3 linked regions of the Tribolium castaneum genome follow. The protein of the gene in region 2 purifies or fractionates together with the protein of the main gene of each other region. This does not show direct contact. Links are inferred from orthologs where the notes say so. Each region holds a gene or a part of one and is shown on either strand. Other genes may lie near its edges.

What was found.
Region 1: the proteins of Tbp (region 2) and Taf11 purify together in Drosophila melanogaster (affinity purification with western blotting; 3 studies listed by BioGRID, with this or other methods). This does not show direct contact. The link is inferred for Tribolium castaneum from reciprocal best matches to the Drosophila melanogaster genes Tbp and Taf11.
Region 3: the proteins of Tbp (region 2) and Taf12 purify together in Drosophila melanogaster (affinity purification with western blotting; 3 studies listed by BioGRID, with this or other methods). This does not show direct contact. The link is inferred for Tribolium castaneum from reciprocal best matches to the Drosophila melanogaster genes Tbp and Taf12.

The regions. Positions count from the first base shown.
Region 1 is NC_087394.1:5,384,227-5,387,987, forward strand, and holds the start of Taf11 (transcription initiation factor TFIID subunit 11), read right to left. Parts: upstream 2,398-3,761; 5' UTR 1,970-2,397; coding exon 1,689-1,969; intron 1,646-1,688; coding exon 1,461-1,645; intron 1-1,460. UniProt on the Drosophila melanogaster protein: The TFIID basal transcription factor complex plays a major role in the initiation of RNA polymerase II (Pol II)-dependent transcription.
Region 2 is NC_087402.1:9,986,832-9,990,592, reverse strand, and holds Tbp (uncharacterized protein Tbp), read right to left. Parts: upstream 2,460-3,761; 5' UTR 2,368-2,459; coding exon 2,322-2,367; intron 2,278-2,321; coding exon 2,051-2,277; intron 2,002-2,050; coding exon 1,859-2,001; intron 1,813-1,858; coding exon 1,293-1,812; 3' UTR 799-1,292; intron 752-798; 3' UTR 246-751; downstream 1-245. Other genes in the region: Bka (rRNA-processing protein FCF1 homolog), read left to right, coding at 2,870-2,872, 2,922-3,530; Tbcc (tubulin-specific chaperone C), read right to left, coding at 3,556-3,761. UniProt on the Drosophila melanogaster protein: General transcription factor that functions at the core of the DNA-binding multiprotein factor TFIID.
Region 3 is NC_087402.1:3,650,000-3,652,339, forward strand, and holds Taf12 (transcription initiation factor TFIID subunit 12), read left to right. Parts: upstream 1-946; 5' UTR 947-1,180; coding exon 1,181-1,774; 3' UTR 1,775-1,821; downstream 1,822-2,340. Other genes in the region: fatty acid hydroxylase domain-containing protein 2, read right to left, coding at 2,332-2,340. UniProt on the Drosophila melanogaster protein: TFIID is a multimeric protein complex that plays a central role in mediating promoter responses to various activators and repressors.

The sequences.
Region 1 (3,761 bases), on a different chromosome or scaffold from region 2:
GTGATATAACGAAACCTTACTGACAGAATGTAACGCAAAAGGCTTCATTACTTTAAATAGAATAAACGTGAAAAGTAACAGGATAGATAGATAACAATTGGGAATAATTATTATGTCATTTTCATATCTTTAACGTATAGATTTTGCCTCCGACTTGAGTTATAAAATCGGCAATGCTCCTAGTTATTTTTTAATTACGTAAATGAGTATTAGTGAGCAAAAATGTGATTGTACAGTGACAAAGAATGATTTTTCTAGTAGTACTGTATTTAAAAATATGTCAATTGAGACTTTATCAAAAAAAATAGATTCATCATTGATCTGAAAACGAAGGGCATTTAGAAATATTGTACATTGTTTGTTTAAGTTTGTTTTTTTAATTTACGACGTTGCAACTTTTAACTCAAAAATTAAAAAAACTTAAAAATTGGCACTTAATAGGCAAATGGGCAAAAACAAAAAAAGCTTTTAGAAAAATCTTCTAGTTTATGATTTATTGTTTTTTACTGCCATTTCCTTACTCATATCTGTTTGCTATTTAAAAATATTGTTAGAGGCGACCAATTGTCTTGAATTTATTATTTATTATCGGTTTTTTATTGTAACAGTAGGGCACAGAAAAGAAAAATTTTTTTCAAAATTATAATCTTAGAACTTTTGTTTAACTGCGACCTAAAATTTCAAAGCACGGCTCCAAGACAATTTTTTATAACTCTTCAAATTGATGTTTTTTTCCTGTTCTTCGCTAAACCAAAAGGGCATTTTAAAAAAAATAGGGAATTAACTTTTTTGTAATTTTACATAGTTATTTTTTTTACTTTTTACATAGTCCACAGTGCAATGGTTCGTTAGACCACTATTCCATAAAGAAAGTCTTATCGAGCGTAATAATTAATTACACAAATACTTACATGTTTGATTTTTTTTGCACACAAAAAAAGAGTTTGACATTTCTAAGTCTTTGGACTGTTTTACTAATTTTTTAGAGTGACACCACTGCCGGAAAGAGGTGTGTAAGCTTTTTCGTATCGACTTCTTTTGAATTAATCAAAAAAATAATAATAAATTTACAGCTTAAAGAGTGCTTTAAGCAGTGGCAACTGTAGAAAAAAGTTGTTAATACGTATTTTCACGTTATTTGAGCTTCCGAATGTATTTTCAATCTCGAGCTGATGGTCTCAATTGTCAACTAAAATTTACCATAATTTTAGTGGTCAAGGCACTTATCTTCACAAAAATAAAAAAAATTAAACTATTAGACGTAATTTCATTGGAAAGCTGTCTGGTTAATACTTAAAAAAATCATAACTAAAAAACTATTGGGAATTTGGAGATTTTCTCGGCGCCCATCGATTCCTCGGATCATTTTACATAGGCTTAGACCAAAATAATTCCACATTTTCGAATAGTTTTGGTGTAATAGAGAAAATAAAAAAAATATTTTTTTGAATTATCCTCACCTTCCTCCACAACCTCTCCAACAAAGACCTTGGCAATCCCAGCCATAGCAATGACCACATTCTGGGAAACAGAACACCCTGTAATCGTCTGCATCAGCCTTTTAATTGCAGCTTTGGGAAACGCCGACCTCCTGTACATCTCATATCGATCCAGCTGATCCTCGGTGAAATTCGAGACTAGAACCCTTACAACAAACCCTCAGTAAACCCCACTTTACACCAACTTACTGCATTTTCTCGCGCTCTTCCTCCTCCATCTCCTTCCTAGTCTTCACCTCTTTCTTCTTAGCCGGAGCGCTGCTACTTTGAGGGGCTTCCGGCATTATTATATCCGACTCCAGGTACACATTTTCTTCGTCTTTGATGTGAATTTCAGACGTGAGCTGGGTCTCCTCGACTTTGACTGTCTCCACAGTGGAGTCGTCGTCTTCGTCCATGGACTCGTAGTTGGGGTCAGCTTTGATGATTTGACTCGTGGAGGCTGGAGGTTTCGCAAAAATGTTGTCCATTGTGTCTTTTTTTCACATTATCTATTTATTTTTTTGGAAATGAAGTAAGGTTATGTGTTAATTTTGACAGAAAAAATGAGCGATCGCTGCTCCCTCTACTGGTAGTTCTGTAGTTCCGTGCAAATCTGAGGTGGCGCCAGTGTCAAATTCCAGTCAATATATCACACTCATATTTGACAATAATTTTGTTTATTGTGTGTAAAATAAGGCGAAGTAAATGAAACGATGAATTTCTCTCGAGTTTGAGGCCCAATTCGCAGTGATAAAAATTGTGATAACGTGTCGGGTCGATTCGTCGCGGTGAACGACACAAAAACGCTTTTTTTTCGTTGTTTTATTGCGGGACCAGTTAATTCGCAATTAACCGCTTTTGACAATGTTCTAGTGTGATAATCGTACGAATTTGGCAACAAAATCACGTTGTAAGTATCCCAGTTGGTGGCTTTTGTTTGCTGGATGACAACTGTCAAAATGTCAAATCGGGCCTGGAGCCCCCTTGATCACCCAAGCGTCCACAGCATTGTGTGCGAAACCGTTAGCTGGGAACGCTTGGAAAGGCACGAAATTGTGGCTATTTTGAATTTTTTCACGCAGGTGCTCGCCGACTGCACGCAGGGGGCCTTAGAGCGTTGGATGGGGCTTGCTGTGCCCCAATTTTCTTGCACTGGCTCCCACTTCAACCACCACCATTACCCCGCTAAACCAAGAAGGTGAGTCGCGATTCCACGTTTAGATTATTTCCCTGAAAAAATGCTCAGTTATTTGCTACAATTTGTGGGGACTTCAAGGGTCACAAGTACCTAAAGTTTTTTTAAAATTATTTAGATCTATTACTTAATTTTGGCCACCCCTGCTTATGACAACAGTTATTAAATGAAACATTTATTGATTAATTTAGAAAATAATAAAATTACAAACTTTGACCTGGGGACATATTTGTAGCACACAACTTCTTTATAATACAAGTTATCTTTCGAAATTTCTTTTTTGTGAGACTTCAAATAAACTACTATTAACTGCACAAAATGTTAGGTGGGATATTGGTGATTTACGGCACGAGCCTAGCGAGTGCTGCATGAATTGCGAGTTAGGTACAATTTTTTTTTTGTATTATGTATAACTTTTCGTAAATAAGATGATTGTTTCTACGTAGCGATACGTAGTAATAATAGATGTTGATGCAGAGCAAAAAAAATATTTGATTATTTTCGATTTTTGTATATCAAACAGTCTTACCATTAGCGGAATTGCCCCTCGCCAGACTTATTAAAAATGAAAGAAACAGACTGGTGGGAGCTGTGTAAAAGGGATGAAAATTTACAGCAGGTGCATAAAGTTCGTACGGTGGGAATTGGGGATGTAAAATTGCACGAGAGCTAAGTGCACATTGCAGAAGAAAAACGAAAATCGTAAAGTTTGTCGGGACTGTAGAAATAAACGTCAGTGTTATTGCTACTGAAAAGGGGAAAATCTATAAAGCTTTATGTGAAAGGTTTCAGATGCAATTTTCGTGAAAGAAAAAAAAAACAATAAGATGGGACGAGACATTTTGTACTAATTATAAATCGGAGTTAATTGATATTGATTTTTTACACCCACACAACAAATTTAATTAATTTCCGTCACAGAATGAATTAATGTTTGGTTTAATAAGTTGCGTTTTAAATGTTTGGGATGAGGTCGGTTTTTTGTTGTTGCATTGTTCTTTGTTTTGAACCGTTTTAAATAAATTACCGATCAGGTGATGGACATTGCATGTCGGTTAATTAACTGTTTTTCCAGTTGTTGAGAG
Region 2 (3,761 bases):
TTAACTACCGAATTTGGTGCAAAGAAAAATAAACTCCGGGAAACAACAAAACGGTGCGAAACTTATAATCATAAGCTGCAAAATCTTAAGAGCCTAAAGTATGAAATTTAAATGACTCTTACGTTGGTCTCTAATGAATTTATTTCAGGCTCTCCTTATATTTGTATAAGTTATTAACTGCAACACAATTTGATTATACAAGACCTAACACAGGCTGTATCCTTTCTAAAAAAAAAACCAAGCCGTTCATTTTAACAACTTTATTCCTTATAAACTAACAGATATGGTACGGACGAACCCTCCAAACTATGAAGTCTTCAATTATGGTGAAATAGGCGAGGAACAAGTAGTACGAAAATTATGGGCATTAATGGAAAAAATGGCACATAAAAACGAATAAAAACTTAAATTTATTGCTTTTTCTTTATGGTAACCGTTTTAAATATTGTATATGAATGGAAAACACTCGCGCTTGTTGCAATTGTAAAACCAACAACGAATAAGGCTACAATTACCATAGCTAGTAGCATTCCTTGGATAAATATGTTGTAAGTTATGTAAAAAATTCCCTGTGACGCCAAAATTCCCGTGTAAGTGAGCAATAGCGCAACGGGCATTAGGGTGGCTGCTGTGACCACGGGGAGCAGGATAACGGCCAAAATCACCACCAAAGACATGGACAAAATCGGTCTTTGCACTGACCATTTTAGGAACATACTTCTAACATTCTTCACCAAATTTCGCACTTTATCTGATAAAATTACGATTAGTAACGCAATTATTGGCGTGTGGCCTCACCTGGTAAAATGGGCATTGTTGTTATTTTACGCCGAACTGTAGAGATTAAAATAATTACTTGAACATGTTGGAATTTGACATCGCTTTTTATCAGTTCCAGTATTTACAAGGCGTGGAATTTGTACCGTCTTCTGATATTCTTCCACTTTTTTAGAGTTTATTGTTCTTCATTTAAGACAAAAACGAGCGAGTTTTTTCTTTTTGGCAAAAAATTTGAGGTTATGTGGCAAAAATTTGAATTTTCGTAAACCATAATCAACTTTAATTAATTATTTACTTATCAGTTTTGAACTTAAGTACTGAGCGGAATTTTCCATTCCCTTTCGATTGATTGTATTCTAGTGCAGCATAATGTATTAATAATGTAAAAAAACTAATTTTGAGGTTAGATTGGACTTGTCAAAAGGAAAAATAAAAGCAATTTTTGATTCTCGTCTATTAACAATATAAAAGGCCCACTTACAGTCAACAATTAAACGTAGCACATGAAGCAATTATTGCTTTTTGAAGCTTTTCAGGATTGGATAAATATTATCAAAGGCTTCGTAAATCTCCTGCCTGATTTTGGCGCCAGTCAAGACAACTTTACCCGAGACAAAAATAAGTAGTACAATTCTGGGCTTAACCATTCTGTAAATTAAACCGGGGAATAACTCGGGTTCATACGAACTGAAGGAACTGTGCGTGAGGACAAGTCCTTCCAATCTGATCGGAAATTTAACGTCGCAACTTCCCACCATATTTTGAATCTTGAAGTCTAAAAATTTCGCGGGGAAGCCCAGCTTTTGGATAATTCTCGCATATTTCCTCGCTGCTAGTCTGGAGTCGTCCTCGCTTTTAGCCCCCGTGCAGACCATTTTTCCCGAAGAGAAAATAAGAGCAGTAGTTCGGGGCTCCCTGATTCTCATTATAACTGCAGCGAAACGTTTGGGGTTGTACTCAGCGTTACGTGCGTGAAGGGCGATTTTTTTCAAGTCTAACTTGCAGCTGAGGTTAACTGTGGAGACAATATTTCTGCAAAAAATATTCAAACTAATTTTACTAAAGTTTGGACTGTTACTGTAATTGGGGGACAATGTTGGGGTCGGCCGAATGCGGGGTCATCGGTGTCAGGGGCGACGGCGTCGCGGGGCCCATCGACGGGGTGTTCGCTGCACCACTTGAGCCCCCCAAATTCACCATAGGGGACATCATAGTGTGTTGCTAAAATTTTAATTAAACGTTCCAATTATTCAATAATTTAGTTACGTACTGGTGTTTGTGACTGGATACTCGTGATGGGGAGGGCGAAGCCCGCATATTTCGTATGGGGCATGGACATGCCCATGCCCAACCCCAGAGTTGGTGTTAGGGCTCCCATTGGGGCCAAAGGCGGGACTTGTTGGGACTGTGATGTTGTGGAAGGTTGCTGCTGCTGTTGTTGCTGCAGAGCATTGGGCAAAATCATCTGATCTTCCTCGGGCTGGTGCAAGGGGGTTCCTAAAGCCTCACTAAGGAAGTGTGAAGGAAAAATCGAGACTTACCTATGCTAGGAATGCTGAAACCGGGGCTTGGCAACATTTGATCCATTTTGGTACTTGTTGTCTTTACACTTTTTTAATTAACGAACTAATTAACTGAACAATAAAATCATAGTCAACATTTAGCATAAACGGTTATAATTTTTAAAAACTTGAACTCAGACCATACAAACACAAAATAACATTCCTTGATTGTTCTCTTTCAGAGTTTTCGTCACGAAAATACTGTTTTTCACTGGAAAAACGGATTTGGAAGCAAATTAATAAATTATTCTCCTAGCATAATTTTTGGGGACAAATCAACCAGAATGTTGGCAACGCCCGCCTTAACCTCACTCAAATTCGCATCATAAATTTAAAAATAACACTCACGGCTCACGCTCACAATGTCGCCTTTTAAAAATTTCGAGTCAGTGGAACAGTTTTTTCACACAAACAATTATTTTGGATTTAATTTATTCACCTCTCCCTGATTGTTTATTTAGTGTTGTAATGTTGGCAACGCATATTTAACCTGACTTTTTCTACATGTGTTTATTTTAAAATAAAAGATGGTAAAAAGTTCGCTTTGGTGTTTGCACAGCGTATAGAAATGTTTTTTAGGGTAAGGCGAAGAAGACGCGAAAAATCGCCCAGAAGCGGTTTGCAAAAATGAAAACAATGATCAGTCCCAGCGACCCTCGCATAAAAGCCAGCCAGAGGGCCCCTCCTCGCAAGAAAAAACCCGAAGATCCACACGAAATGAAAGTGCGTGAGGTGCCCCAAGTTAGTTCGGCGCTCTTTTTCCAATACAACACCCAACTGGGGCCTCCATATCACATTTTGGTTGATACGAACTTTATTAATTTTTCGATCAAGAACAAGTTGGATATTATTCAGAATATGATGGACTGCTTGTATGCTAAGTGTATTCCGTATATTACGGATTGTGTTTTGGGCGAATTAGAGAAATTAGGTCAGAAGTATAAAGTGGCGTTGAGGATAATAAAGGATCCGAGGTTTGAGAGGATTAAGTGCATGCATAAAGGGACGTACGCTGATGATTGCCTAGTCCAGAGGGTCACCCAACACAAGTGTTACATTGTTGCGACGAATGATAAGGATTTGAAACGCAGAATTCGGAAAATTCCGGGTGTTCCCATCATGTATGTTGCACAACATAGGTATACAATTGAACGCATGCCTGATGCTTACGGGGCTCCAAAAACATAATAAACTACGAATTTTTATTACTACGTTATGAATTATCCCAATTTTTTACAAGTTTCCCTTCATCTAACAACGACCAATTTGGAGATTGTCTTTCAACATTCAACCAGTTGAAATCATCAACACATTTCCAATTATTTGTGTTTCGATCCAACCCTGAATTTTTAAAATCAGACTCGAGATTATCATAGTCCCAGTTATACGGTGCTAGAAATATATCGTGACAATCTTCCA
Region 3 (2,340 bases), about 6.3 Mb from region 2:
ATATTGATAACATGTAACTTTTATGCAAATAAAGATTTTTTAATGGTGTTGTTTTTAATTTCTTTTTATTGTTTTGCTACAAATAGTAGCCAACGCAGAAGCCATAAAGGTAGGTGCATTTTATTTTTGTCACGTATTTTTTTTATTTCCAATAATTACCAATAATTCTTTTATTTCCCTCATTTTCTAATAATCATTGTTTACCTCATCCTTATATCCTTTTTTCCTGGCAAGAATGCTCTAAACCTCCACGTGGTTCTTGCTGGACAAGTTAGTTATTAATTTGACTAATTAGAGCAATCCTTAAATACGATTTTTTTTTAAATTCGTTAAGATCCTAAGGGTCGTTTGTCCGAACATGATTTTCATACAGTCGAAGGCCCTATTAGAGGGCTTGATTTCCTACAAAAATAAAGAAAATTGCAGTATATAAAAGGGATGAAAAAAAATAAAGTTTTCGAAATAGGAGAATTTTAAAGAATCTTTAAAAATTCATTAAGGTCTCAAGGGGTGTTTGTCCGAACATGATTTTTTTACAGTCGAAGGCGCAATCAGAGGGCTTAATCTCTTGCAAAAATAAAGAAAATTGCGGGATATAAAAGGGGTGAAAAAAAAATAAAGCTTGCAAAATAGAAAAATCTTAAAGAATCTTAAAAAATTCATAAGGTCCCAAAGGGTGTTTGTTCGAACATGATTTTTTCACAATCGAAGGCCCTATCGAAGGGCTTAATCTCCTGCAAAAATAAAGAAAATTGCAGGATTTAAAGAGTGTGAAAAAAATCGGTTTGCAATGCTTGAATATGAAAATAAAAAATTCAGAAATTAAATGCAGTCAAGTTTAATTTTTAATAGAATCACATTACAATGGTCAAAAGATGATTTACGATTATTTTGATAATTTTCTTGGTGCAAGCTCCATGCGCGCAGAGATTGTCTGGTCGACTGTAATGTTCATAGTGGCGGCACCATTTTTGGTGCTATTTTCACCGATATGTCATCGTGACGAACTGTCATCGAAGTGACAACAAAAAACTAGAAAGTTGGTTATTAAACCAAATCCCCTTAATTTAACTCACGTTTCGTGCAAATAATTTAATAATCAAAGTGGGTGACTAGCAATGGAGTGCCCCAATCAGTAATTTCCCCACTTTGTTGACTTCAACATAACCCTACTTTCGCCATGTCTGTGCCCAACTTGACCAACAACCTAATCCAGCCACAGAACATCGTAATCAACCAAGTGCCCATCCCTCACACCATCATGACGAACGTCAATGCAAACAACGGAATTCCGCTCACTGCCCTATCGCACGCCCCTGCTTCAGTCGACCAGTCAAGCGACATGAAGCCTGGCATAGTCGTGGAGACGATCCCCATGGCGGGGGCAAGCCTCGTCGGCGTCCAGACCATGCAAACCCCAATCAAGACCATCCAGGGTTCGGACCATGCCCAAATCTTGACAAAACAGCGACTCCAAGACCTGGTGCGCGACACCGACTCCACTCTCAACCTCGAGGACGAGGTCGAGGAAATTATTCTGAACTACGTGGACGAGTTTGTGGACCGGTGCCTCAACGGGGCCGCCCTCATTGCGAAAAACCGGCGCGTCAACACGATCGAAGTCAAGGATGTTCAGCAGTTTTTGAATAGGAATTACAATATGTGGACCCCCGGGTTCGGAACGGACGAGCTGAGGCCGTACAAGAGGAGTCTGACGACGGAGGCGCACAAGCAGCGCCTGGCGTTGATCAGAAAGACGTTGAAGAAATATTAAGATTGTTTATTTTTTTTTTGTAAATAAAAGACGGTTCACAGTCAGAATATTTATTGCTATATTTAACCAATAGTATAATACAAATAGTAAAAATACAGCCCGTGAAATTCTCGCACTCCTTACGCTAATTACGTTCGCCATTTCCTTGGGAAAAAGGATTTCTTGAGATTGTTCCCAAAAACCATTGCTGTTGCCCCATAAACACTAACAAATATAAAATTTATGTAACCGCAACGTAATATAAATGTTATATTACGCAAAACAAGTTTTATTGTGTTTGATGGAACCACAGCTTCCTTAGTTTTTGCCACGTTAGACACAACGGGTGAAGGGACACTTCGTTCATTGGCCAAGGAAGCTGCGGATGGAACATTCCGTTCTTACAATAACCGTCAAATATTCAAAAAAATCACCCCTTAGAGAGTTATAACAATTACAATATTTTTTATGAATCCTGGTCATATTCAGGATGTGTCGCAATAACTACATCTAACAATATTCACTTTAACATTATTACATTATATGTGCATGAGTTAAAATATCGTGCCCTGGCCCCATTACTGCTT